Oryctolagus cuniculus: one gene and its partners. The protein of the gene in region 5 purifies or fractionates together with the protein of the main gene of each other region. This does not show direct contact. Links are inferred from orthologs where the notes say so. Each region holds a gene or a part of one and is shown on either strand. Other genes may lie near its edges.

Region 1 (2,109 bases), on a different chromosome or scaffold from region 5:
CCCCATGCCCTGGGGGGGCTCTGCTGCTCAGGCTGGGGGAGGCCTCTGGGGGCCCGGGGGCTGCGGTCTGTCCTCGGCCCCAGGGGCCTGTGCCGGGCGCCCGCGACCTCTGAGTCCACAGGCGGATCAGAGGCCTGGATGGAGGGGGCAGGGGGTGTGGCCAGCAGCGCCGCAGAGGGGGAGCCAGGGAGGACGGCCAGGCAGGCAGCTGGGCGGCAGCCCAGCAGGCTGGAGAGGCACAGGTGGGGGCAGGGAGGCACGGAAGGCCAGGGACGCTGATCAGGAAGAGAGGAGGAGCTGGGGACATCGCTGAGGGGTCCCCTGGAACGAAGCCTAAGTGGGGGCATGGGACGAGACCCTCTGACTGCTGAGTCCCAGATGGAACACAACAGAGCGTGGCCCCTGCCGCGTGGGGGCTGGAGCACACACAGCGGGGACCCCCTGGGGACAGCTGGGGACCGACTTCCTGCCTCGCCAGGCGGTCGGAGCCTCACACGCCCTCCGGGCCTGTCTGGTCCTTTATTGCATCTCGGGAGCCCCTGCCCTGCGGCTCAGAGAGGGGAGGGCCCCACGCAGCCCCCTGCTGGGAAATCCTGGCCAAACCCAGCGGCCGGAAGACAAGGGTGGGACCAGAGTCCGCTGGAGGAGCCCACAGCTCGGGTTTGGTCCGGCCTTTGTCAGGCCCCTGAGGTCCCTGGGGAAGACCAGGTGCCAAAGCCCAGGGCTCACAGGCCACGCCGGGCCCGCCAGGCCCCGCCAGGTGCGGGTGTGGGCCAGCGTCCATCTCAGCCCTTTTCTCGGAGGGGCAGCCGACAGGCGGCACGAGCGGCTCCTGAGCAGGGCACGGCAGAGGCCGCGGCCCGCCTCAGACGCTGATGGTGCGGAAGATGGTGAAGCCGGACAGGGCGGTGCTGACCACGACCCCGGGGCACTGCGGGTGCCAGTGCAGCTCCTTCAGGTCGGTCTCGCCCTGGTGCACGAACAGCAGCTGCTGGGGGAGGTCCGCCAGCCCGGGCTCGGCCTCCGCCTCCCTGGCCTCGGGGTCCCGCTCCACGGCCAGGTCCCACTGCGTGATCTGGTTGTCGGCGCCGGAGGCAGCAAAGACCCCGCTGTCCTGGGGGTGCCACTCGACAGAGGTCACGGGGGCCACATGCTGCTTGAAGGTGGCCACCGGGGAGCCAGACTGCGGGCAAGGATGGAGTCAGGGGCTCAGACGGCTCAGCCTCGGGGTTCAGCGGGACCCCGCACCTCACCACCCACAATCTGTGATGAGGCCTGGAGGAAGCCCCCCCTCTCCTCCCTGGGTGCGTGCCGGCTCCCTCGTCTAGACAATGTTCCCCCAGGGCTCTCCCCTGACTTTGTGAAGGCCCCACTTTGGGAGCTCCAGAGGCAGCCAACCGGGACAGGGGTCCCAGGTGCTGCTGGGACCTGAAGGAGGACTGGCTGCAGAGGGCCACCGTCATCACCTCCAGGAGCCAGCCCAGGCTGAGTCCACAGAAGCGGCTAAGCTGCAGGGAAACAGATGACCCGGCCGCCCCGGAAGAGCTCGGGCTCCGGGAAGCTATGGCTCCGTGCACAGGGACCCCACAGGCTGCAGCTGCTCCTGCCAGAGCCTCTTTCTGCTCTACAGGTCAGCGCTTCGCCGGGCTGTCACGTCGCACCTGCTCCTGTCCTCGCTGTGCCGCGCCTCCTCCCCTGCAGCGAGTGAGCTGGGTTCCCACTCTCAGTCCACCACAGGACCAATCTAGAGTTCCCAGGGGCCCTGAGTCGTGGGCCGCACAGCGGCTGCACCTCTGCCCCATGGGCAGATGGGAGCTGCAGTCTCGTGGTCTCTCATCCCTCGTCAGAGACCTCACAGCCACCAGGACCCTTCCTCTGCCCGAGCGTCAGCCTCCCCACCCACCCCAGGAGGGGCTGGCCCCGCGCCGGCCGGCCGCCCGAGCACGGAGGGGGAACCCGCAGGCCCAGCGGCTGCTCCGGGAGGTACCTTGAACTGCCGCAGGTCCCAGACCTTGAGCGCCCCGTCGTCCCCGCCGCTGAGCAGGAAGGGCTCCCGGCGGCTCCAGCTGATGACGTTCACGTCCCCGTCGTGGGCAGCGGCTGTGGTGA
Region 2 (4,108 bases), on a different chromosome or scaffold from region 5:
GTAAACATAAATTACTTAGGATAGCATGTGGCACACAGTAAAAAGTACTGTTATTTAATTTCTTTTCTTTTTTTTTTTTTTTTTTTGACAGGCAGAGTGGACAGTGAGAGAGAGACAGAGAGAGAAAGGTCTTCCTTTGCCGTTGGATCACCCTCCAATGGCCGCCGCTGCAGCCGGCGCACCGCGCTGATCCGATGGCAGGATCCAGGTGCTTTTCCTGGTCTCCCATGGGGTGCAGGGCCCAAGCACCTGGGCCATCCTCCACTGCACTCCCTGGCCATAGCAGAGAGCTGGCCTGGAAGAGGGGCAACCGGGACAGAATCCGGCGCCCCAACCGGGACTAGAACCCGGTGTGCCGGCGCCGCAAGGTGGAGGATTAGCCTATTGAGCCACGGCGCCGGCTTCTGTTATTTAATTTCGTTATTTGATAAAAGCTACATATACTCAAGATTATCCTCTGAGAATGTTAATTGGTAAAAAAAATCAAGAGTTTTGAAAAAACATGAAATTTCCTTTATTTTTGCTAGAAAGTTTTAGACACATATCAAAAACAAAATAAAAAATTAAAAAGGGATAAGTCATTTAAGTTATACAACAATTTGCAATCAAAGTCTTAGGAATCTCCCAAATCCAATCAATGTGCCCTGGACAGAATCACAGACCAGCATTGGTAGATTGTGATATCAACAAAGACAACTTCCATATAAATAAATAGCACTTAAAATGAAGAAAGACCATATTCCTAGAAAGAACACAATGTTCCCTAGAGTCAAGAAGGGGAGTCCAAAGACAGAAAATCTGGCAGTGTGTTCCCAACACTGTGTCCCAGGAAGAAACTGTTCCTGATCCACAAACAAGATCCTTTCCCAATGTGGAGAATGATGTCTTAGACCATTTCAGTGGGAAAATATTGGCCAGTAAGGTCAGTAAGGTCACTCAGCTTTCTCTTCTTGTAACATTATACACAAAAATATTTTGTGTAATATATTGCTTAATTAAAATTTGGCTTTCCATAACCACTCCGGCTGGAGAAAGGGCTGCTCCTTAAAAATGAGCCTGTTACTTCTACTTCTCAATGTAAATTAACAGTTAAAATGCCACAGCTGCCTCCCTAAACCAGAAGTAATAGTGCTCCTTGTAAAGCCTTCACTTAGACTTCCCAGCATTTCTTTCATTTATTCTGCTTCCTTACTGCTAGTTGCCTCCATGTTTCTCTCTTGCACCAGACTCTATCTACCTTAAGGTACAGAAACATTCCTAGTTTCTTTTTTGTCTTCCACAGTTTCCTACTGTGGAAGTTTAAGTTGATTCTTAAATGTGTGATACATAAAGGAAGGGATGAATAATGGCATCATGTGATTATTCTCTTCCCAAATAAAGACTAAAAAGTAAACACAAAGATAGAACTTACCTTATTCTTTTCATTTTGAATAATTTCTAAGAGCTGGGTTATATGCCCTTCTTCTAGGCATCTTTGGCCTGCTATCTGAAATAGGCCAAAATCTTCTTCTTTAAAGTCTTGCTCTTCTAGTATTTGCTGGTAAAAACAAAACAAAAAACTAAGTACTTTAATGATCTCAAAATCCACTGTACCAAAGAAACCGAGGGAAAAGGATCAGTATTAACAGTGAAAAGGTTATTTAGATCAGTATGTTACCTGGAGAAATAATCCAATGTGCCTTCCTGCCCTCATTCTATTTATAGATCAAAAGGAGCAGGGATTAAAGAAGATAAACACAAAACTATTTAAAAATAATCTATACCCTTAGGTGTTTTGAAAGGTATTTAACTTTACAAAAAGACAAAAAAATCACTTACACATCTTTTTATTATGGATTGAAGTTCCTCTACAGCCATTTCTCCTTATATATCCTAGTTCTGTCGCTGAAATGTACTAAGAAAAACAGTTAACTGTGTAATATCCCACTGATGTATTCATGCATACATAACTTATGATGAACATTAGTAAACAATAAAGAAAATGCAAAGTTTTGTAGTCGAAATGTTACTACTAATTATAGTAAGAAATCAACGATTTTTTAAGACTCTTGCATTTTTTTTCTTATTCACCTTTTAAATCTTCCAGGAGCATAGTTTTCAGATACCTTAAATAACAAAAACAAAAACCCAAGGAGCACTCCCAAAAAGCGAGGCAAATACAAAAGTATTTCCAAAAGGCGGACTTGAAATAAAAATTTTGTTCGGCAATTGTTTACTTTTTAATACAAAGTTGACCAAAAAAGGGGGGAGGGTGCAATACAACTAAACCACCCAGAGAGGGTGAAGGCTCAGATGCCCTCCATCCCATGTCTGAGAGCTGCAGTCCCCAAAGTCATCAATCCGGCGAAACCGCCCCGCCGAGCCCCGGCAAGCGCTCAGGAGCAGGGCACCGCTCCGCCCCCGCTCACCGTCGCTGGCCCCGCGCCTCCAGGCCCGCAGAGCCGGCGCAGGTCAGCAGGGTCTTCAGGCAGCGCGCTCACAGGCCGGTAACACCCTCGCACGCGTGCGGGCGGCATCCAGAGGAGGCCATTTCTCCGGCTCGCCCAGACGTTCCGGCCCCACCACCCAGCGGGGGCCTCCAAGGCCCGCGGCACCCAGTCCTCCGCCGCTCACCAGCAGCCGCGAGCCCCTGCCGCCCCACGGCTCTCGGCGCGTCCACCTACCGGCCAGACCTCGCGCCTTCTCTACCCACTCCACCACCTCGTCTTCGGGCCGCGCAGGTCGCTCTCCCGGCCCCGCCCCCGGCCCCGCCCCGCCGCGGCAGGCCCGCCCCGCGCTGTGCGTAGGGGGCGGGGCCTCGCGGGGGCGGGAGTCGCCGGAGGAGGTTCCTGGCTTTCTCAAGGCTGACTCCCATGGCTGACTGGCTGGAGTCGTGTTCTCCCGGCCGGAAGGCCCGGGCTCCTCGCGCCTCCCGAAACGCCAAAGGTAGGAACAGGGCCCTCTTCCCCCGTTTGGAGCCCCGGGACAGGATCCCGACGGAATTCTGGCCGGAGGCGCGTGGGTGCTCTCGAAAGACTGCCCTAGGGGAGGGTTGTCTGGTGCAGAGGAGGCCTAGAGCTTTGCACCGCAGTCCTTGCGCGTTTTGGGAAAGATCTCCCCGTTGGAGCTGAACCCTTGATACGGGGGTTGTGTGAAGGAAAGGGCAGTGGGGGTTCTGGGAGCCCAGAGCTGGGGTCCCCAGGGTGGGCGAGTGACCAGGGCGAGGTTGGCAGCGTATACAATCTGCCTTAAACCTTGGACCTGTCCTCGGAGGTGTTGGACTCGCCTCTCTCCTCCTGGGAGTGAACGGTTGGGGGATTGTGAGAAAGTACTCCGATCTCGGATTTTTAGGAGTGCTTGATTAAGCAGCTGTGACACGTGAGCCCATTCAGTCACCAAAAGAGATAACGTTGTAACTAAGAAAAATGAGGGAGTAGTTAATTTACAAAGAAATTGGTTTCCCTTCCAGTTGCGTTTTGATTTACACATATAATTGGAAATGAAAAAGAGAAGGTGGGCTACAGTTTGTTATTTGGGTAGGAGTCTGCTGCATCTGATATGTTGGTGTAGAGTTGACCTATATATATAGTTCTTAAATTGTAGGCACTAAACAGACAAGAGCCTTGAAATCAGAAGATGCTTCTAAAAGGTAAGAGAACTGCTTGAACAACTGCATTCGCTTATCTGTGTGCCTTGAATTAATTAAACCAGTCTTTATTATTAAACCAGTATTAATTAAACCAGTCTTTATTATTAAACCAGTATTGTATTAATTAAACCAGTCTATTGGGAGACAATTATGATGCAAGGAAAGCACTGTAAGTTGTTACATCCCTCTCCTCCAGGCTTTAAGAGAACCAAACTAGAGGGTGGGCACTTGGTGCAACTGTTAAAATGCCACTTGGGGTGGTCTGTGTGCCATGTCAACATGCATGGGATCCAGTCCTGGCTCCATTTCCAATTCCAGCTTCCTTCTAATGCACACCTTGGGAGACTGCAGGTGATGACTCAAGTAGTTGGGACCCTGCAACCTACTTGGGAGTCCCAGATTGAGTTCCTGGCTCCTAGCTTTAGCAGGGCCAGCCCTGGCAGTTGCAAGCGTTTGGGGAGTAAACCAGTAAAAGGGAGA
Region 3 (4,270 bases), on a different chromosome or scaffold from region 5:
GGCACGTAAGGGACATTATTTGTTGGTCATAAAACAGATCTCTACCCCTGTGCTCTGTGGGAGCAACGTGGGTGGAGGGCATCCCAAGAATGCTTTCCTTGGTGCAACTCCGGACGCCTGCCTCGTGTCCCCTCCTCAGTCAGCTCATGGCCGGGGGAGCGTGAACTACTAACTTTCCTGGCGGGAGGCCCTACTGGTGTTCCTCCGGATCCACCTCAGCCTGCAGGTGAGCCTTCTGTGCCACACGGCTCTTGACCAAGGCCTACGACAGCTGCTTGTTCTGTCTGCTCTCCTGAGGCCTACTTCCTTTCCCAAAGAAACCGCCCCCACCCCTTCCCCTTAACTCTTCTTTGTGTGTTTGCGCTCAGCAGCAACCAACTCTTCTTTGTGTGTTTGCGCTCAGCAGCAACCGTAAAGAGCCTCCCTCCGTCATGGCCTCCATGCCCGCCTGGCAGATCCGGAAGCAGGACTGACCCTGGTTTTGTTGCTTAAGGGGTTGATCTGATTGAGGTCTGCAGCTCCCCTCAGTTACTCTTGGCTGGATTGTGCTCCTGTAGAGAGGAAGGCTCTGTCAGTCTTAGAGCTGGGTAGACATTCAGGACCTTAGTAGCCCCCTTATTCTAGGTATTGTGCAGAGCAGGGCTTTTTTTAAAAAAATATATTTATTTATTTTTATTTGAAAGAGTTACACAGAGAGAGGAGAGGCAGAGGGGGAGAGCAAGGGGTCTCCCCTCTGATGGTTCACTCCCCAATTGGCCGCCATGGCCAGAGCTGCGGCGATCGGAAGCCAGGAGCTTCTTCCGGGTCTCCCACGCGGGTGCAGGGGCCCAAGGGCTTGAGCCATCTTCTACTGCTTTCCCAGGACATAGCAGAGAGCTGGATCGGAAGTGGAGCAGCCGGGATTAGAACCGGCGCCCATTTGGGATGCCGGCGATTCAGGCCAGGGTGTTAACCCGCTGCAGCACAGCGCCGGCCCCCGCAGGGCTTTTCAGTGCAAAAATTATTAACCGGAGTCCTTAGACTCCCGGGCTGAGCAGGCTGTGCGCCACGCCGCTTACCCTGGGTGACCTGCACATAATGCGATTATTCCCCACCCGCCCTCGCTGCCCCCAGTAGAGGAGACGCCAGTCCGTAATCCTGCCCAGCCTCTGGCCTGCCCGGTGGCCTCCTCGTCCCCAGGCATGCAGCCACCAGGCTCTGGCAACTACAGACCGCCTTTCAGCATCGGTCGCCCGCTCCAACGTACAGCTGGCAACCCGGCTTCGGTTCTCAGGGCCGCGGCGGTGCCTCTGCTTTCCCGGTCCCCGGCGCACGGCAGCCGGCTGGGCGCGGCGGGGCGCGGCTGGGCGGGGCGGGTTTCCTAGTCGGCGGAATTAGGCCGCCGCACCCGGAAGTAGCGGCAGGAGAGGGAGCGCTGAGGTGTCGGCAGGCGGGACTGCGGCCGGGAGCCGGGGACGGGGGGCGTTGGTCATGTTTCCCTTCGGGCCCCGTAGCCCCGAAGGGGACCAGGCGGAGGAGCTGACGCCCCACGGAAGGCAAGCGGCAGCCGGCGGGCCGCCCTCTCCTCCCCCGCCCGCGCCGCCGCAGCCCGGGGCTGACTCAGGCTCGCCCCCGCCGCCCGCCCGGAGCCCCCGCCGGCCCGGCGCCCCCTTGCTGTCCCCGGCGGCGCGCGCTGGCGAGCTCGGGCCGGCCGGAGCGCTGGAGTCCTCAGCCGCCTCCGCCGAGGGAGAGCCGTCACCGCCCTCCTCTCCGCGCCGGCGCTCCGGGCCGGACTGCAAGGCCGGGAGCCGGGGCTGGCACGGCCTCTGCGCCGGCCTGGGCGGCCCCGGCGCCAGACTGTTCGGGTGGCTGAGAGAGCGCAGCCTGGGCCGCGGGCTGTTCGTGGACCCGGCGCGGGACAATTTCCGCACCATGACGAACCTCTACGGTTCCATCCACCCGGCGGACTCGGTGTACCTCAGCACTCGCACGCACGGTGCCGTCTTCAACCTCGAGTACTCGCCCGACGGGTAAGCGCGGCCTCTCGCAGGCTTGCCCACCTGGAGGCCTGGGGAGGGGAACGCTGGGGGAGGGGCGCCCGGCAGGTGTGCGGGAGCTAGGCCAGGCGGTGTCGGGGCAGACGTTTCCAATGCGTGCGCCTACTGTCCCTGTGCTCCTGGGCTTCGCTTTCTCGCTGAAGCTCGCTCGTGTCCAGGGTGTGGAGCCTGCAGATTCCCTGCACCTGGTGCCGGGGCTGGCCGTGGGGGCGCGAGTGTGATGAGTTCCTTGGCTCCAGCAGGAAGCCAAGACACTGCCGGGAAGCCTTGTGAAGTCCCCTGGCCGGACGACAGGCTTCTGTTAAGGCTGTCCGGCCTTTTTCTTGGCTGATGAAATATTTTATGCGTGGCCCTGGTGTGCTTTTGGCTGTGGGGTATTTTCCAAATAACAGGAGCCTTCTCTGTGTATTTAAAACCGCGGGTTAGGCTGCTGTTTACAACGCCGGCGTCCCATATCCGAGCACCAGTCCGGCATTTCCGCTTCCCAGCCAGCTCCCTGCTAATGCGCCTTGGGAAGCCAGCAGAGATGGACCCGAGTGCTTGGGCCCCTGCCCGCGACGTCAGAGATCGGGTTGCGTTCTGGTCTCCTGGCTTCACTTGGGGCTGGGTTGCTGCCACTGGGGAGTGAACCAGCTGTGGAAGCGCTGTATCTCTCCTTTTCCCCGTTCCCCCGACCCCTTTCTGTTGTTGTGCCTTTCAAGGAAAGAAAGAAATCTTCAAACAAACAAACAAAACAACTCTGTCCTGTGAAGAAATGTGAAAGCGGCCAAAGGAGCAAATGTGTATACAGGAGGCATAATTATAATTCTTAGCCTATCAAGGCCTCTGGTTTGCTAGTTATTCGCTTGGTTGCTCGTTCATTCCTTTATTCAACAAATACCTGTTGAGCGCTGCTTTGTTCCAGATGCAGGGGTAACAGTGGTGAGCAAAACCAGCTAATGGCACTGCTGTCATCGACTTTGGGACCTATCAGATAATCTTAGAAAATAACACATAATGTATGTTTACAAGCAGAGATAAAAGCTGGAGGCAACCTCTTGTGGACTGTGGTGCTTGAGGCTTCCCTGAGAAAGTGACACTTGAACCCCTAGGAGAGAAGTGCGTTCAGATAGGGTTGGAGAGGGGATAAAAGTATTTCAGCTAGAGACTGGTGTAGCTGAGGACCCGTGGTAGGGGAGAGGCAGTGTCAAGTTAGAGAAGCTGAGAAAGGCTAGGGTTATGAAGCAAAAATTGTAGAGAAACACCTAAAATAGCCAAGGAACAGAGTCAGAAATTGTTGTAAGCAGGCTGGTCTTAGCGCCATTTCGCTAACGCAGATGCGGCCTAGTCACATCCTGTGCGAGGTTCCCTGGCACTTCTCTTTCTTGGGGTTGGGTGCACAGCATAGGAGCGGACGCGTACTGATTAAGGCAGACAGTTGGTGGGAAGAGAAAGGTAATTCCGTTGAAGCTTGTGCATGGAACCTTCTCTCTTCCTTCCTCTAACCAACCTCTTATTCAAGGTCTCCTAAAACACCAGGAATCTCCCCCTTATTCGTTCCCTTTCCTCTCCGTGTCCTGTCCCCTCTCCTCCCATCCTATGCCTGTACTTCCAGGACAGGAGAAGGTAACTGCTTCTGTTCTTTGGAGGTGAGATTTTAGGCTGAGGATAGGAGAAGCAATGAGTTATGAAGAAGGAATTCAAATTGCAGGTATTCTGGTACTTAAAATGAAAAAATTCAATAATTTAAAATTATACAATATATGTTTATTGTGGAAAATTTAGGCAACAACAGAACAAAAAGTAGCTTAGTGCCACTTATAATCCTAGAGACTGAATAAATTGCAGACACTTTTTGTGTTTATTTTAACGTACATAGAATCATCTTGTTTTAAGTAGCTAAATGCCACTTATAATCCTAGAGACTGAATAAATTCCAGACACTTTTTGTGTTTATTTTAACGTACATAGAATCATCTTGTTTTGTAGCCTTTTTTTCTCATAGTTTTTATGAGCTATTTGTTAATATATTTTTAAAGATTTATTTATTTATTTGAAAAACTTACAGAGAGGTAGAGGGAGAGAGAGGTCTTCCATCTGCTGGTTCACTCCCCAAATGGCCGCAATGGCCAGAGCTAAGCCGATCTGAAGCCAGGAACCAGGAGCTTCTTCTTGGTCTCCCACACGAGTGCAGGGGCCCAAGGACTTGGGCCATCTTCTACCTTCCCAGGCCATAGCAGAGAGCTGGATCAGAA
Region 4 (3,500 bases), on a different chromosome or scaffold from region 5:
AACAAAAATGCACTATAGACCAAACACCCACAGAGCATATATATGGGGGGGGGGGGTGGATTCAAAATAAATGCGCTTGAGTCCATGAAGAACCCAGTCCGGCAGGCCGCTGACACCCTCTTTGGTGTACCGGGAATATTCAGTGCAGCATCTGAGTGCGTACTGCGCATGGCTGAGGCGTGGGACAAGGAGCTGGATTTACAAAGACAAGTAAGACACAGGTTGCATTTCCAAGGGGCAGGGGAACTCTCCAAGTCTCACACTCACTTCTTATGCTCCTTAGCTGCAATTCTAGGCCTCTCTTTGCCACACTCTCGGACAACTGATTTGTAAAAGCTCATGAAACACCATTAACACGTACAGCCCATCCACATTAGAAAAGGATTTCCACTACTGATAATGATCAAAGCTTCTGATGGTAAGGGTTCCAAACAAATTCTGAGGGCACTGCACTTGTCAGGCTACAGGCGCACAAACAAGCACCCAGTACATAAAGGCTGAAGTCTGCACACATCCAAGAGGCTAAAAAAATGTCCTGAACACCCAGATGTCACTAAAACCATTCCCACCTGCGTACCTTCACTGAGTCTCAACTACCCAATGTTTTTGCTTTTATTCATGATTTTTTAAAGTTCATAATACATACCCATACATTACAAACTCTCCTTCTTTAGGGCAGAGAGAAGGCTATACACTTGCCTCACCACTTAAGAATCAGGACCCTGGGGCCAGCATTGTGGTGTAGCAGGTGAAGCCAGCAACTGCAACACTGGCATCCCATGTGGGTGCTGGCTTGTGTCCTCAGTTGCTCCACTTGCCATCCAACTCCCTCCTAATGCACCTGGGAAAGCAGTGGAGGATGGCCCAAGTGGGAGACCTGGAAGAAGCTCCTGGTTCCTAGCTGTGGACTGGCCCAGTCACATAGGGAGTGAACCAGCAGATGGATATCTCTCTGTCTCTCCCTCTCTAACTCTGCCTTTCAAATAAATAAATAAATCTTAAAAAAAAAAAAAAAAATCAGAACCCTACCAAGGCCTTGAAGCCCACATACCCCTGCTTACCTGCACCCCTCCCTCCACTGTACCTGGTACCCACCATCTTCCTATCTTAAAAAATATATTTGTTTTTGTTTTTATTTATTTGAAAGGCAGAGAGACAGAGAGATTTTCCATTCCACAGTTTGTTCCCCAAATGCCTGCACCAGGTGGGGCTGAGTCAGGCTGAAGCCAGCGGCCAGGAACTCAATCCATACCACTCACACGGGTAGCACGAAGCAAGTATTTGAGCCATCACTCACTGCTTCCCAGGAAGCCCGAGTCAGAAGCTGAGCCAGGACTCAAACTCAAGCACTCATTGATGAGATGCAGGTGTCCCAGCAACCACTTCACCAAATGCCAACCTTCCTTTTGTCCATTTTTTAAAAATTTACTTATTTATTTGAGGGGCCGACATTGTGGTGTAGTGGGTAAAGCCACCACCTGCAAAGCTGGCATCCCATATGGGTGCAGATTCGAGAGCCGGCCACTCCACTTTCAATCCAGCTCCCTGCTATTGTGCCTAGGAAAGCAGCAGAGGATGGCCGGACTGCTTGGGCTGCTGCACCCACCTGGGATTTCTAGAGGAAGCTCCTGACCCCTGGCTTTGGCCTGGCCCAACCTCAGCCATTGTGGCCATTTAGGGAGTGAACCAGCGGATAGAAGATCTCTCTCCCTCTGTCTCTTCCTCTTTCTGGGTAACTTTCAAATGAAAATAAATAAGTCCTCCAGATCAGAAGTGGAACAGCCGGGACTTGAACTAGTGCCCACATGGGATGCCAGTGCCACAGGCGGTGGCTTTTACTCACTATACCACAACCACAGCCCCTCTTTTGTCCATTTTTAAGATCCATCCCCCAGACTCGTTTTTTGTTTTTTTTTTTTTTTTTGGTGCTACAGTTGCAAAGTGCAGGTATTCTGTGAAACTCCAACCTCCTCTGCTCGGCCGGCCTGCTCATCCTCTGCCAATCAGGAATCAGAAGGGAGGCTGACAGTGCTCAGGGCGGGAACTATATCCCACTCATCCCTGTGTCCCAGCACCAGGCCCAGTGCCTGCTTGTTGGTTAACTGCTTCTTTAACCTACACCAACACTCACATAAAAAACAAAAACACCAAAAAAAAAAGGAAGCCAGGTACTCCTGGAGAGAGGCTCAAACACTCCGCCCCCTTACCTCTGCTTCCACCTGCTGCTGAGTCCGGTTGTGGTTCTCTTTGTACTGGTTGGCTCTCAGGACCTGCTGCTCGATGCCGAGCAGAACCGCTTCACAGCCGTCACACCTGCCGAGCAGAACGCCAGCCTTAGCTGCGGAGGGCCCAGAGACCTCCCTCCCAGTGGCCTCCCAGCACCCTGTAGGGACTTCTTCCAACACGCCCTGAGCCAAGGCTCTCAGCCCTCCTGCAGTCCCTTCTAAAGACAAGCATATCTAAACACACTGCGGAGGACGTAAGGAGACAGACAGCGATCTGGAGGGAGCTTCCTAGAACATCGGTTTGATTTTCAACCTCTGCACCCACACGAAATGGTTTACAGGATGTAAAGGAAGGAAGGAGGAGATACTTCACAGGTGGCACTGATGAGTTACTTTCCTCAACAGAAAAAAAAAAAAAACTTTCTAAAAGCATCCTTTGCATGTACTTCAAAAAGTTCATGGAAAATGAAATTAAAAGATATTATTTTAGTGCAAAAAAATTTCTGATCCATGAGTAGTGTTTTTCTAACATGAATTTCCATGAATTTCTGACGATTTCTCATATGCATGGATTTCAGATTTTTTTACACCAAAAAAATTATCTTTCAATTCCATTTTCCAGTGAAGTTTTTGAAGTCCCCATCCGTTCTGCAGTGCCCCTTTCCTCAGAAGCTTAAGTTACTTTCTAATGGTCATGTCTCTGCTTGTTATTCTCCCAACTTTTATTTTGAAAAATTTAAAACAGAAATAAAAACTGAGGGGCTGGGGTTGTGGCCAGCACCCCATATGGGTTCCGGATGCTCTATCCCATATAAAACCCACCTGCTCCGTTTTTAATCCAGCTCCCAAGTAACGTGCCTGGGAGAGCAGTGGAAGACAGTCCAAGTAACTGGACCCCTGCCACCCACGTGGCAGACTCAGACGGAGTTCCAGCTCCTGGCCATTGCAGCCATGTGAACAAGCACATGGAAAATCTGTCTCTCCCTCTTGTTGTAACTCTGCCTTTCAAATAAATGAAACAAGAAAGCTGGGGCCAGCACTGCAGTGTAGTGGGTAAAGCCGCCACCTACAGTGCTGGCATCCTACATGGGCACTGGTTCGAGTCCTGGCTGCTCCACTTCTGATCCAGCTCTCTGTTATGGCCTGGGAAAGCAGTAGAAGATGGCCCAAGTACTTGGGACCTTGCACCCACGTGGGAGACCCGGAAGAAGCTCCTGGCATCAGGTCAGCACAGCTCTAGCTGCTGCAGCCATCTGAGGAGTAAACAAGCAGATG
Region 5 (3,500 bases):
ATTTAGCTGTCTAGAATACATTTATTAGACAGCAGCTTAAACCATCCAGTTAAGAGCGATGACTTTAATATTAAAGACGAAGAAGAGGAAAACTAAGTTCTGGGAACACCCACTTACCTCTTTAAACTCTGCTTTTAGCACACAGTGTCCTAGGGTTGACTGCCACTGAAGTTTCCTGCCACTGTGTTTACCTAGGTAAAATGTCTTAAAAATCTCCTGAAGCTTTACCATCTAAAATAAATAAAATAAGGCTTTATTTAAACTCCACATCCAGTACCACATTCACCACTCTTTATACCTACCTCATGTGTAATAACTTCTGGAAATCTCAAAGACTATACTCTTACTACGTAATATTACTATTACCACTTATTTCATATGGATCAACATCTCTCTATACCATTTAATCATCCCTTCTTTAGAAACACTACACCATGCACTATACTGGTTCCTTTACCTCACTGCTGCTGCTTGGTTTTCTTCACAGGTTCCTCTTCCTACCACCAGCTGAATGTGAGCCTTTTCCAAAGTTCTGCCTCTGCCACGTTTTCCACATTCTCCCCCATACTGAGAGAAATCTACTTCCTGGACTTCCATGATCATCTCCAAAGAGAATTTTCATTATCTTTTTCTCTAGCATTTACCTCTTTTCTAGGCTTAAGTCCTGAGCAAGATATTTTCCCAGGAGTTTGGATGCAATCAGTAAGCACTCATCATTTAACAATCCTGCCAACAGATGAAATATGGGCAAAAATATTTGCTAGCTAGGCGGAATGAGGGATATAATCTGCAGAGATGTAAGAGTTGGGGAAACTGGCTCTGAACACAGAAACTTGGCATCATTAGCTGTGTGCTAAACTGGACCTGGGAATATAAATATAAGAGTAAAATATTACATGAAACACATGAAACTTGTATAACAAATAAAATTTTAAAGAGTAAAATACTAAAACAGCTGAAATTTGGTATTACTACCTTCACTGAAATTAGCTTGATACAAGGATTTGAATTATGATTTCTATGCCTGTAACTGAGGTCCTAAATAGTAACTCTTACCTCTGGTGGTAAATGGACTTCCATAGGTACATACGTTGGCCAATAACCCATTGTCAGGATATTCACAGTTAATTCAATATTTCCAGGTACATTCTGGTTCTGCATATACTATAAGAAGATCAACACGTACACTGAGATCTTAAATGTATGTACATTTCATGTCCTACTACCGATCCATTTATGAGAAGTTCCCCACTATAAAATTATAAGGATACTGACCATCTTTAAAATAAAAGTCAATTATTAAGAGGACTTTAGATAAACCCTTCAAGCCTTCACAAAATGTACTACATAAAGACATCGGGCACCATTTTGATGCAATGGCATACAAGGATCACGTGACTTCATGATAAGCATTATCAGCTTAAATACTTTCTCGCATACAGCTGGGTTATTATAGTATCTCTTCTCCATTATTTTCCCCAGTACCACCTGCATTCCCCACTTTTGCAGGGAACTTGGAGCACCAGAACCAAACCCTACTCTTCCTCACCCCACCAGCCAGCCCAAGTCTCCAGTTTTTCATTTGCTCCAGTGCCTGCTTTGCAAGGGGTAACCTAAAATGGGGGGAGGAAGAACAGGGAGAAAGGGCAAAGCAAATAAATACTGTCTGTATCTACTACTGCATGATCCATGATCCTACTGACCATGATCTTTCTCTTTGAGTCTTTCATTGGTAAAGAAGTTACTACTAAAACCCCATAAGAGGGAAATCTAATTTGCTATCAACTATCACCTATGTTCTTAAAATATTTCAAACTACTTTGTACCTGCATCTTCAGAACTGTAGATTTAGCTTTTCATTCCCAATTTCCCCCAAAGCCTCTGTACAATCACTTCATCACCTATCTGTCCTCTCCACTGTGAGCTCTGAACACGCAAAACCAAAAGGTATTTACATTTTATTTCTACTTTTGTTATTTTTGCATGTTTATTAAGAATAAACCCTTGGGGGGCCAGCACTGTAGTGTAGTAGGTTAAGCCTCCACCTGTGGTGCCAGCATCCCACATGGGCACCAGTTCAAGTCAAGCTGTTCCACTTCTGATCCAGCTCCCTGCTAATGGCCTGGGAAAGCAATGGAACATGGCCTAAGTGCTTGGGCCCCTGCACACATGTGGGAGACCCAGGTACATTCTGGTTCTGCATATACTATAAGAAGATCAACACGTACACTGAGATGTATTAGGTTAAACCATCTGCAGTAACAGCATGCCATGTGGGTGCTGGTTCGAATCCTGGCTGCTCACTTCTGATCCAGCTCCCTGATAAAGCAGCAGATGGCGGCCCAAGACCCGGCTGTCGTGACTACTCTGGGGAGTGAATCAACAGATGGGAGATCACTCTCTTTCTCCCTAATTCTTTCAAATAAATAAATAATTTTAAAGAGTTATTTTATTTATTTGAAAGACAGAGTTACAGAGAGAGGTAGAGACAGAGAGAGAGGTTTTCCATCCGCTGGTTCACTCCCCAGATGGCCGCAATGGCTGGAGCTGCGGCAATCTGAAGCCAGGAGCCAGGAGTTTCCTCTGGGTCTCCCATGTGTACGCAGGGACCCAAGGACTTGGGCCATCTTCTACTGCTTTCCCAGGCCATAGAAGAGAGCTGGATGGGAAGAGGAGCAGCCCATATGGGATGCTGGCACTTCACGCCAGGGCTTTAACCTGCTGTGCCACAGTGCTGGCCCCAAATAAATTTTTAAAAAAGAATAAACTCTAAACTAGGTCAAATATATTTCACTGGTCATTTTTTTAACTGTTGCATCTAAGTTGTTATGACATATTTACAACAAATATGTTCTATTTTTCCCTTCAATATAAATCACCTCAAGGACACAACTAAATATATTTAAGTTCAAAGAATTAAGTAAGAGTTTAACTCACTTTTACCTGTTTGAACTGAATCATGATGTCTTTAGAAAGCTCCATGTCTTTAAACATCCCTTCAAGCTTGCTGGTGAAAGCAGCTCCACATTCTATAAGATATTTGTATATTTATAATATTTTAAAGGGGTAACAACAAAGAACTTAAAACAGGAAGCATGAAATGTAAAATTTACTTTAGCGTGAAATATGATCCATAACTGTTCATAAGAATAAAAAGAAATCCTTAACCCAAAGTGTATGCACCCTAATTCAGAGTCAAACCCTTTAATCCTTATCTTATCTAAATTTAGGTATAAGATAAATAGGAAATTTTTATACAAATAATGAAAATAAGAAGAATGCTTTATTTTAAATAACCAAACAGCTCTAGATACGTGTAATAGGTTAGAAACCTCATGGGCTTGCACAATTTATGTTTTCATCACATATACATAGAGTGACTGACAAAAGAGGTAATCAACTGAAAGAATAAAAATTAAACTAACATTTTCCCTCAGAAATCAAAAGAAACAAAGAATGGCAAACATACCATGTTTGAGTTTGGACAACATTGATTTTTC
Region 6 (3,500 bases), on a different chromosome or scaffold from region 5:
TCAGAGCTTCTGTGGCCTGAATACAGAATGAAAGGAATCTAGAAATTCAACGTGTGTGTCACTCTTTGCTTCATTTCCTACTCTTCTATAGGAAGAGTCCATCTGCAGTGAACAGACCCAAAACACTGGAGTCTTAATGAGAATTCTGCAATAGGCAGGTAATCAGAAGGAAGTCAAAAGGGGCCAGTGAATCCTTTCTTGATCATAAACTATTGTCTTGCATTCTGTTCCAGAGAGATGCAGGGCTGAATGCCCTCTCCCAGGCCAGCACTTGTCCGTTCTTCAAAAGCACTCTGCAGGCCAGTTTGCTTTCAGCTCAGCCAATACCAGGGTTTGATGATTAATCCAGGTGCTCAGGGTGGGGAGGGCATCTACTTGGGATGGGTGGGTCCCAGGCCTGAGTTTTAGTGGTCCTATGAATGAGAGACTAGAACAAGAGATAAGTGATTTTTCTTACTTGTTCTTGCCGCTGTGTGAGCTGAAAGATCCATGTGGTGCTCATCTGGCTCCCTGTTGTTTTTGTCCTAATCTTCCAGCGCTGGAGGTCCCCAGGCACCAGCTTCAGTGTAGCCTATGCAGCGGTTCTATATCATAGAGTGTTAGAACCAGAAGGAATCTCAGCAGTTATGTCCACCTTGCCCAGGTCTCCTGACTCTTACTGTGGGGTCTGTCCTTTGTTCCCATTCAGCTTCACAGGGACAAGGGTGGGGGATGACGTCAAAGGACAACTCCTTATTCTCCCAAGAGCACTTTGATACGTCGTCCCATTCCCTATATTCCTCCAGCCCCAGTCATCTAAGGCCAGAGCTCTTTTCTCTGCTCAGGCATATTGACAGGATAAGTCCTGGCATTCAGACAGGTCTGGTGAAGTGACCAGGTACCCTGGCCCGGAAGTTCTCTGTCGGCTTCCCCTGCAGGCTCCAACTCAGGTACTGTATGTAATTTATTCTCTTGCTCCTCTTGCCATTGGCTTTGTCCTTAGTCTTAAATCCTAAGGAATTGTTCCCCTGTACTTTATTTTGCTAACTTGTTCACACAGAGCTAGCTCAGAGTACAGGTCTATAGCAAGGGCTTATCAGGAGATGGATTAGTATGTTCAGGGTTTTTTGTGTATGTTTTCATGTATCTTTTGATAATATTTTCAGGCAATGGAGTTTCTTTCTACTGCCTAATCACGCTCCAAAAGCACTGCCTAAAAAGCCCAAATGCAATGAGCTTTGCAATGAGCTGAAATAGGAATTGGGGGAAGAAGTAAAAGAATGGGATTTCAACTTTATTCTTGGGCTCAGACTTAGATTCAGTCTTTGCTGACCTTTGTTTGTTCATTTGTAAAATAAAAATTAAAGAAGTTTACAGGTCTGTAGGTCAGCTTTATTTTTCATGCCTGCCCCCTTGCAGAGGAGGTTGGTTCAGAGAGAACCAAAGGAAGCTTCTTGTCAGGGGCTGTTTTCTTGAACTGCAGGGCAGCTGTAAGGCAGAGTGCCTTTCCTATCTTCCTCATCTGGCTAAAAGCCGAAAATACTTTAGCAGCTAGGCTGGGACTAGATCTTCCCGTGGGATAGGAATTGCCCTGCCCTATTGGAGAAGCTCATGTTTCCAAGTCAGACAGCAGGGGGCATATGTGCTTTCAGACGTGAGGAAGTTGCTTAAGCCAGAAGGCCTGCCTGCGATAGTTCTTTCTCCTATTGAGGGAATGTAATCAGAAGATAGCTGAAACTGATGCTGTGAGGGTGCCCAGGAAGCCCCCTTGGTATATTGTGCTGCCCTATAGCTGAGATATATATTGTGCTTTGAGAGCAGGTCGCAAAATGCTGTCCTCTGGGACATGCAGGTTTTTCAAGCAAACATGAGCCTTCATCAATGCCTTAACCCACAAGCTCAGCCTCCTCTTACCAACCTGTGCCTTCCTGCAGTTCTAGTAAACAGTGCCAAGTGAATGTAATTGTTGTCTGACTGTTCTGGGGGCTCAGTGGCAACTGCTGCTTTCTTCATTTTTAAAAATGTATTTGCCACTCAGTGAAAGCCACTGAGATGGGTTTTTTTTTCCAGCGTTGGGCTAGTTGGAGCTTTGGAATCTGGAGATAGTGAGGTCATCTGAACTTCATTGCCTTCTTGTGAAGCTAGCAGTAAGCTTTGGCCAGTCACTCACCTATATCTAGGCCTGTGTCTGGGGATAAAGCCATCCTAACCTATACATAGGAAATGATAGAAGGGCCTAATCTATTCAGTCTGTGTGCAGTATTTCCTCTGTCCACAGGGCCATTTGGCCCAGGCTTAGGACAAGCGGGCCTGCCTTTACAGCAGCTGCCTCAGCCCTGATCAAGGGCAATTGTTTGACTCAAGGTGAGTAGTGATTGTAAAGCTCTATTCCCCTACCCCTGACCCTTTTTTTTTTTCTTTTCTTTTCTTTTCTTTTCTTCTGACTAGGTAAACTGTCTTGAGCCCCACCCTCACCTTCCTGTGCTGGCTACCAGTGGCCTAGATCATGATGTGAAGATCTGGGCACCCACCGCTGAAGCCTCCACTGAGCTGACAGGGTTAAAGGATGTAAGTGGTGGATTACAAATGCTCTTTTCTTCCTGCTTACCCACATACGGTTACTCTTCATGGTCATGGGAAGGAATAGCTCGGCTCCCAGTTGTTTAAAGGCATTGCTCTAACATCCTCCCCTACATTCCTGTCATTGCATCTGTAAGAATGCTCCTGCTCCAGGGGGCAGCTCTGCAGTGCCTCTGGTTGGCAGTAGGAATGGGGGTAGGGAACCTCTTCTGGAAGAATTACTCAATTTTAAGGCTTTACCTCAGTAGCTGAACTGAGGGCATCCTTTCCTAATCTAATCTAGCTCAAGCTCAGCTTAATGACACCTCAGGGAAACTTTTAAAGGAATAGACCATCAGCTTCCTTAATCAAGTCCAGGGTTCCTGTTCATTGTTGGTTCCTTCCCCTAACCCATTTGGGTCTAGGTGATTAAGAAGAACAAGCGAGAGCGGGATGAAGATAGCTTGCACCACACTGACTTGTTCGATAGCCACATGCTCTGGTTCCTCATGCATCACCTGAGACAGAGACGTCATCACCGGGTAAGCCGGGGTTGGAAGTGAGCTCCTAAGGCAGTTGCCTTCTCAAGAGACCTAAAAAGTGCCAGTACACACCTCCTCACCACTTAAAGGAGGAATCAGGTGGTCTTAGTTAGGTTCCCTATCCATTGTCCCTATCCCCATCAGATCCCTAATAGAGCCTTCAAGGAGCCACAGCGGAAAGGGGTGGAGTCTGCTCATATTCTTCATTGCCATACATGCATAGTGCTGTATGCATAAAGGCAAAGTCAGGAGGGTGGGAGGGGAGTTGAGAAGAAATAAATTTCAGAGTGACCCTTCTTTTTTTCATACCATGCCAGAAGAGGCCTTGGGCAGTGGTCAACATGTTGGTGGTTGGCCTGCTGGTTTTGTAAATAAAATTTTATTGGAATGTAGCCACACTCATTGTATGTATACCTGTGG
Region 7 (3,500 bases), on a different chromosome or scaffold from region 5:
CCACAGAGTCCCCAGCACTTTCCAGTTTCCAGACTGGCAGACAAGGGCTCCAAGGTAACTTCTGGACAATGCAGCAACCCTCAGAGAGCCATGGCCTGACCTTACCTTTGCATCAGTGTTGATGTACTTATTGAATCTCTTGAATGCATCAACATTAAACTTCATCAGCTCCCCCAGGAGATCGAAGTAGCTCTGGAGCACATCCCTTGATTTGCACTCGCTGTCCACAATGCAGTACAGAATATGCTGGGCACGACAAGGGGACAGGGTGACCAGGGTGGGACTTGGGTCGGCCCCAACTTGCCTCCTACAGGGACTGGCACAGAGATCACACCACACATCTGTTCTGAGCAAGCACCCGGTCCATGGAACCTCAGCCGCACGTAGATTCTTGGCCTAGGATGCCGGCGGCACCAAGCGCAGGTCAGGCTGACGCACCTGGCCAGGAGCGGTGGGCTGGGAGCGTGGCACACCTCCCTCTCGTGCTCAGGCTCAGCTGGGGCTGACCTGCTCTGTGCTCTGCAGATCTCACTTCTGGCATCAGCCACTGCCCTGGCACTGTGACCACCCAAGTAAAGGAAGGGCACCGGACACACTGTGACCCCGTGGTTGTGTGTTTATGAATGGAACCATTTAAAAACTCACACCAAAAGCAATGAGTTTTTTATCAAGAGCTAAGCCAATTTTTACCTCCTTGATGACGTGTTCCATGATAGTTAAATGGTTTCCAACATTTAACATTTCATGTTCTTGAAGCTACACTGATTTGGACTATTTTCTTTCCCATATGGATTTTACATAAATTCATGAGCCAGTTTCTTGTCCATATCTTTCTAAAACTATAATCTGGCCGTTTTTCTATCTTCCCTTTTTGTAAATGTTTTTCTGAAGGACATGAGTCAATAAAGCAAAATTATTTTCAGTCGGATCAAAATATCCTCAGGGTCAAAAGGCCTTGCTGGGCAACTCCAGACCCTTGTCCTCCTGCATGGTCACCCGAGTCCCTCCATCACTCTTCCAGCACCCAGGGGGAAGCCACAGTTGGAAGTCAGGGCAAACACTAGGGCAATCTGCATTAGCATTTACAGAGCAGAGCCCGAGTCTGCCCCCAGTGAGCCGTAAGGCTCAGGACAGCACAGCAGTGGGGCCGCGGGGAGAGGGGCCCGGCCGCTGCTTTCCAGCCGTACCTCCAGCAGGCCTCGCTTCAGCAGGAACATCTGGTCGGCGTAGGAGGTGGTCCCTCGCAGGAAACTCTCCACAGCACGGGCTTGCCAAAACCTGCAACCCAAACACAGCGCTGGCCTCGGAGCTAAGGCTGCCCTCTTCTGATTCATACTCAATGTCCCCAGGGTGGGGAGATGTCTGCCGTCTTAATCTACTCAGCATGAATAAATGAACAGCCCCCGGGCAGCAGGCCTCACCCCAGGTCTAGGGGACACAGCGGTGAGCAGCAGAACCCCCATCCCCCTGGAGCTGACAGAAGCACTGGGCTCTGGAAGGGGTCGCAGTGAGTCCCATGTGAGGACACGCTTTGCCCATCCAGAACAGGAAGATGTGAACTGAGGGGAAAGAGTGGAGGAAGCTGATGGGCTGCCTAGTGAGGAGGTGGCTGATGCTGACCACGTGACCCAGAGGTCAGAGCTGGGATCCATGTCGGGGAGTGTGGGCATGGCAGGCCACGGCAACAAGGGCCCCATGGAACACAGCCTACCGAGTGCTCACACTGGCCCTGCTGGGAACCCTCCTGTCCACAGCCTTAAGGCTCAGCACAGACCACTCTGGACTCTGAGGTGTCCCTGGCCAGCCCCCAGCAGGGGAAGGGGCTCTCCTCTGCTCCCCGAGCATCTGGCTCCACTTATGTCCACACCACATTCAGAGGTTTCTGCTCACACTCGTTCCCCATCCGCGCGGGGTACTCTGCCCAGCAGCCACACAGAGCAGGAGCCTGGTGAATGGGCAGGGTGGTGCCCACGTATCTGCGTCGACTAGGGCCGGAGGGCAATCGACGCTGACCACTGTGCGGGGGTGGATGCTGGTGACTGACCATGTGAGACACGTGCTCCCCTCACTGCGGAAGGGTCAGGTACCCGTCCCTCAGACCCACCTGAAGGATGACTCAGCAGGCTCCTTCTTCATGACCTGCAGCAGTCGAGTTAATAAGCCCCTCTTGCCATCACACACCAAACTCCTAAGACAAACAAAGACGACGAGGGCATCGGTGGCAGACCTGAGGCTGCCAGGGGCCTTGGGGCTGCGTCACTCCGCTAGGTTAGCTAGGTGAAAACACACAGGGACGTCTTCCGAGTCTGGAGGATGCCCTCCTGCTCCCCGAGCCCAGAGCACCCAGGGCTCCTGCGGCCATACACTGCACAGCCATGTGCACTCCCGCTGCGTCTCAGGACAGCTTCTCCTTCCTAGACATGGTACGAGGCCAGACACACATCCAGAGCCAGTCAGGGCCCAGAACCCCGCAGAGTGGGTCTACGCCAGTCTCCTGGGGAGGCTCACTTTGTGCCAACAGGGCGGGGCCCAGGGTACTCCTCGTTTCAGACTCAGTAGCAGCGGAGCCCTAGACAGGTACCAGTGCCTCCAGTCTCAGCTTCCAGACCAGTGAAGCAAAGACGGGAGATGAGGAAATGTCTCAGGCCTCACCACGGGAACAGACGGCCATGCAGGTGAGGGTGTGCCCTTCGAATCCTCTTCAGAGAGATCAGCTCTGCTCTGAACCGCTGCACACACTGGGACAGCACTGTGCACAATTTCACCTGAACGAGAGCTCTGCTGCCTTTAAAAAGAAAACGCTGGGGGCTGCCTGCAGGGCCAGCATCCCATATGGGCGCCGGTTCGAGTCCCGGCTGCCCCGCTTCTGATCCAGCTCTCTGCTATGGCCTGGGAAGGCAGTGGAGGATGGCCCAGGTCCTTGGGCCCCTCCACCCGCGTAGGAGACCCGGAAGAGGCTCCTGGCTTCTGGACTCGGATTGGCACAGCTCCAGCCACTGCAGCCAACTGGGGAGTGAACCAGTGGATGGAATACCTCACTCTCTCTCTGCCTCTCCTTCTCTCTCTGTGTAACTGACTTTCAAATAAATACATAAATCTTAAAAAAAAAAAAAAAAAAAAGCAAAGGCTGGAGTATGCTGGCTCCTGCTGCTGGCACCTGTTCCCCTGCCTGAGCCCCAGGAGCCGTCGCCGGGCTGCCCCGCATCACCACACAGAGGCCCGTTGGCAGAGCCTGCTTGTTCGCCCTGTGGGGCTGAAGCTGCCACAGGGCAACAGAGGAGTACACAGCGGCACTGTCAGACACACGTGACGGGGGCAGGGACGGAGCACGCATGGCCTTCGGCAGGGGGGCCCCTCGGAGCCCCTGCTGTCATCTGTAAAATGGTGGTGGTAATGTCCCGCCTAGGGCCGCCGTGAGGCTGAGGAGAAAATGCAGGTGGCGGAGCACAGCGCCAGGCACAGGGGCCTCGGGCACTGCAGCTCCAAGTGAGTGCGAAAGG

Evidence for each region.
Region 1: the proteins of CUL4B (region 5) and GRWD1 purify together in Homo sapiens (co-immunoprecipitation; 4 studies listed by BioGRID and IntAct, with this or other methods). This does not show direct contact. The link is inferred for Oryctolagus cuniculus from reciprocal best matches to the Homo sapiens genes CUL4B and GRWD1.
Region 2: the proteins of CUL4B (region 5) and GLMN purify together in Homo sapiens (affinity purification with mass spectrometry; 3 studies listed by BioGRID and IntAct, counting the BioPlex papers as one, with this or other methods). This does not show direct contact. The link is inferred for Oryctolagus cuniculus from reciprocal best matches to the Homo sapiens genes CUL4B and GLMN.
Region 3: the proteins of CUL4B (region 5) and DCAF10 purify together in Homo sapiens (affinity purification with mass spectrometry; 4 studies listed by BioGRID and IntAct, with this or other methods). This does not show direct contact. The link is inferred for Oryctolagus cuniculus from reciprocal best matches to the Homo sapiens genes CUL4B and DCAF10.
Region 4: the proteins of CUL4B (region 5) and COPS7B purify together in Homo sapiens (affinity purification with mass spectrometry; 6 studies listed by BioGRID and IntAct, counting the BioPlex papers as one, with this or other methods). This does not show direct contact. The link is inferred for Oryctolagus cuniculus from reciprocal best matches to the Homo sapiens genes CUL4B and COPS7B.
Region 6: the proteins of CUL4B (region 5) and DCAF8 purify together in Homo sapiens (affinity purification with western blotting; 7 studies listed by BioGRID and IntAct, counting the BioPlex papers as one, with this or other methods). This does not show direct contact. The link is inferred for Oryctolagus cuniculus from reciprocal best matches to the Homo sapiens genes CUL4B and DCAF8.
Region 7: the proteins of CUL4B (region 5) and TRPC4AP purify together in Homo sapiens (affinity purification with mass spectrometry; 4 studies listed by BioGRID and IntAct, counting the BioPlex papers as one, with this or other methods). This does not show direct contact. The link is inferred for Oryctolagus cuniculus from reciprocal best matches to the Homo sapiens genes CUL4B and TRPC4AP.

What each region holds. Positions count from the first base shown.
Region 1 is NC_091449.1:8,607,584-8,609,692, forward strand, and holds the end of GRWD1 (glutamate-rich WD repeat-containing protein 1), read right to left. Parts: coding exon 1,988-2,109; intron 1,184-1,987; coding exon 866-1,183; 3' UTR 501-865; downstream 1-500. UniProt on the Homo sapiens protein: Histone binding-protein that regulates chromatin dynamics and minichromosome maintenance (MCM) loading at replication origins, possibly by promoting chromatin openness.
Region 2 is NC_091438.1:78,327,673-78,331,780, reverse strand, and holds the start of GLMN (glomulin), read right to left. Parts: upstream 2,801-4,108; 5' UTR 2,664-2,800; exon of another isoform or gene 2,409-2,663; intron 2,208-2,408; exon of another isoform or gene 2,071-2,207; intron 1,895-2,070; 5' UTR 1,858-1,894; coding exon 1,819-1,857; intron 1,538-1,818; coding exon 1,412-1,537; intron 1-1,411. Other genes in the region: putative RNA polymerase II subunit B1 CTD phosphatase RPAP2, read left to right, coding at 2,853-2,925, 3,583-3,628.
Region 3 is NC_091432.1:200,636,598-200,640,867, forward strand, and holds the start of DCAF10 (DDB1- and CUL4-associated factor 10), read left to right. Parts: upstream 1-1,470; coding exon 1,471-2,009; intron 2,010-4,270. UniProt on the Homo sapiens protein: May function as a substrate receptor for CUL4-DDB1 E3 ubiquitin-protein ligase complex.
Region 4 is NC_091434.1:7,526,579-7,530,078, forward strand, and holds part of COPS7B (COP9 signalosome complex subunit 7b), read right to left. Parts: intron 2,314-3,500; coding exon 2,208-2,313; intron 1-2,207. UniProt on the Homo sapiens protein: Component of the COP9 signalosome complex (CSN), a complex involved in various cellular and developmental processes.
Region 5 is NC_091453.1:98,262,894-98,266,393, forward strand, and holds part of CUL4B (cullin-4B), read right to left. Parts: coding exon 3,470-3,500; intron 3,030-3,469; coding exon 2,938-3,029; intron 1,165-2,937; coding exon 1,057-1,164; intron 232-1,056; coding exon 118-231; intron 1-117.
Region 6 is NC_091438.1:38,706,758-38,710,257, forward strand, and holds part of DCAF8 (DDB1- and CUL4-associated factor 8), read left to right. Parts: intron 1-91; coding exon of another isoform or gene 92-154; exon of another isoform or gene 155-261; intron 262-2,427; coding exon 2,428-2,547; intron 2,548-2,963; coding exon 2,964-3,080; intron 3,081-3,500. UniProt on the Homo sapiens protein: May function as a substrate receptor for CUL4-DDB1 E3 ubiquitin-protein ligase complex.
Region 7 is NC_091442.1:23,131,543-23,135,042, reverse strand, and holds part of TRPC4AP (short transient receptor potential channel 4-associated protein), read right to left. Parts: intron 2,189-3,500; coding exon 2,105-2,188; intron 1,279-2,104; coding exon 1,188-1,278; intron 247-1,187; coding exon 106-246; intron 1-105. UniProt on the Homo sapiens protein: Substrate-recognition component of a DCX (DDB1-CUL4-X-box) E3 ubiquitin-protein ligase complex required for cell cycle control.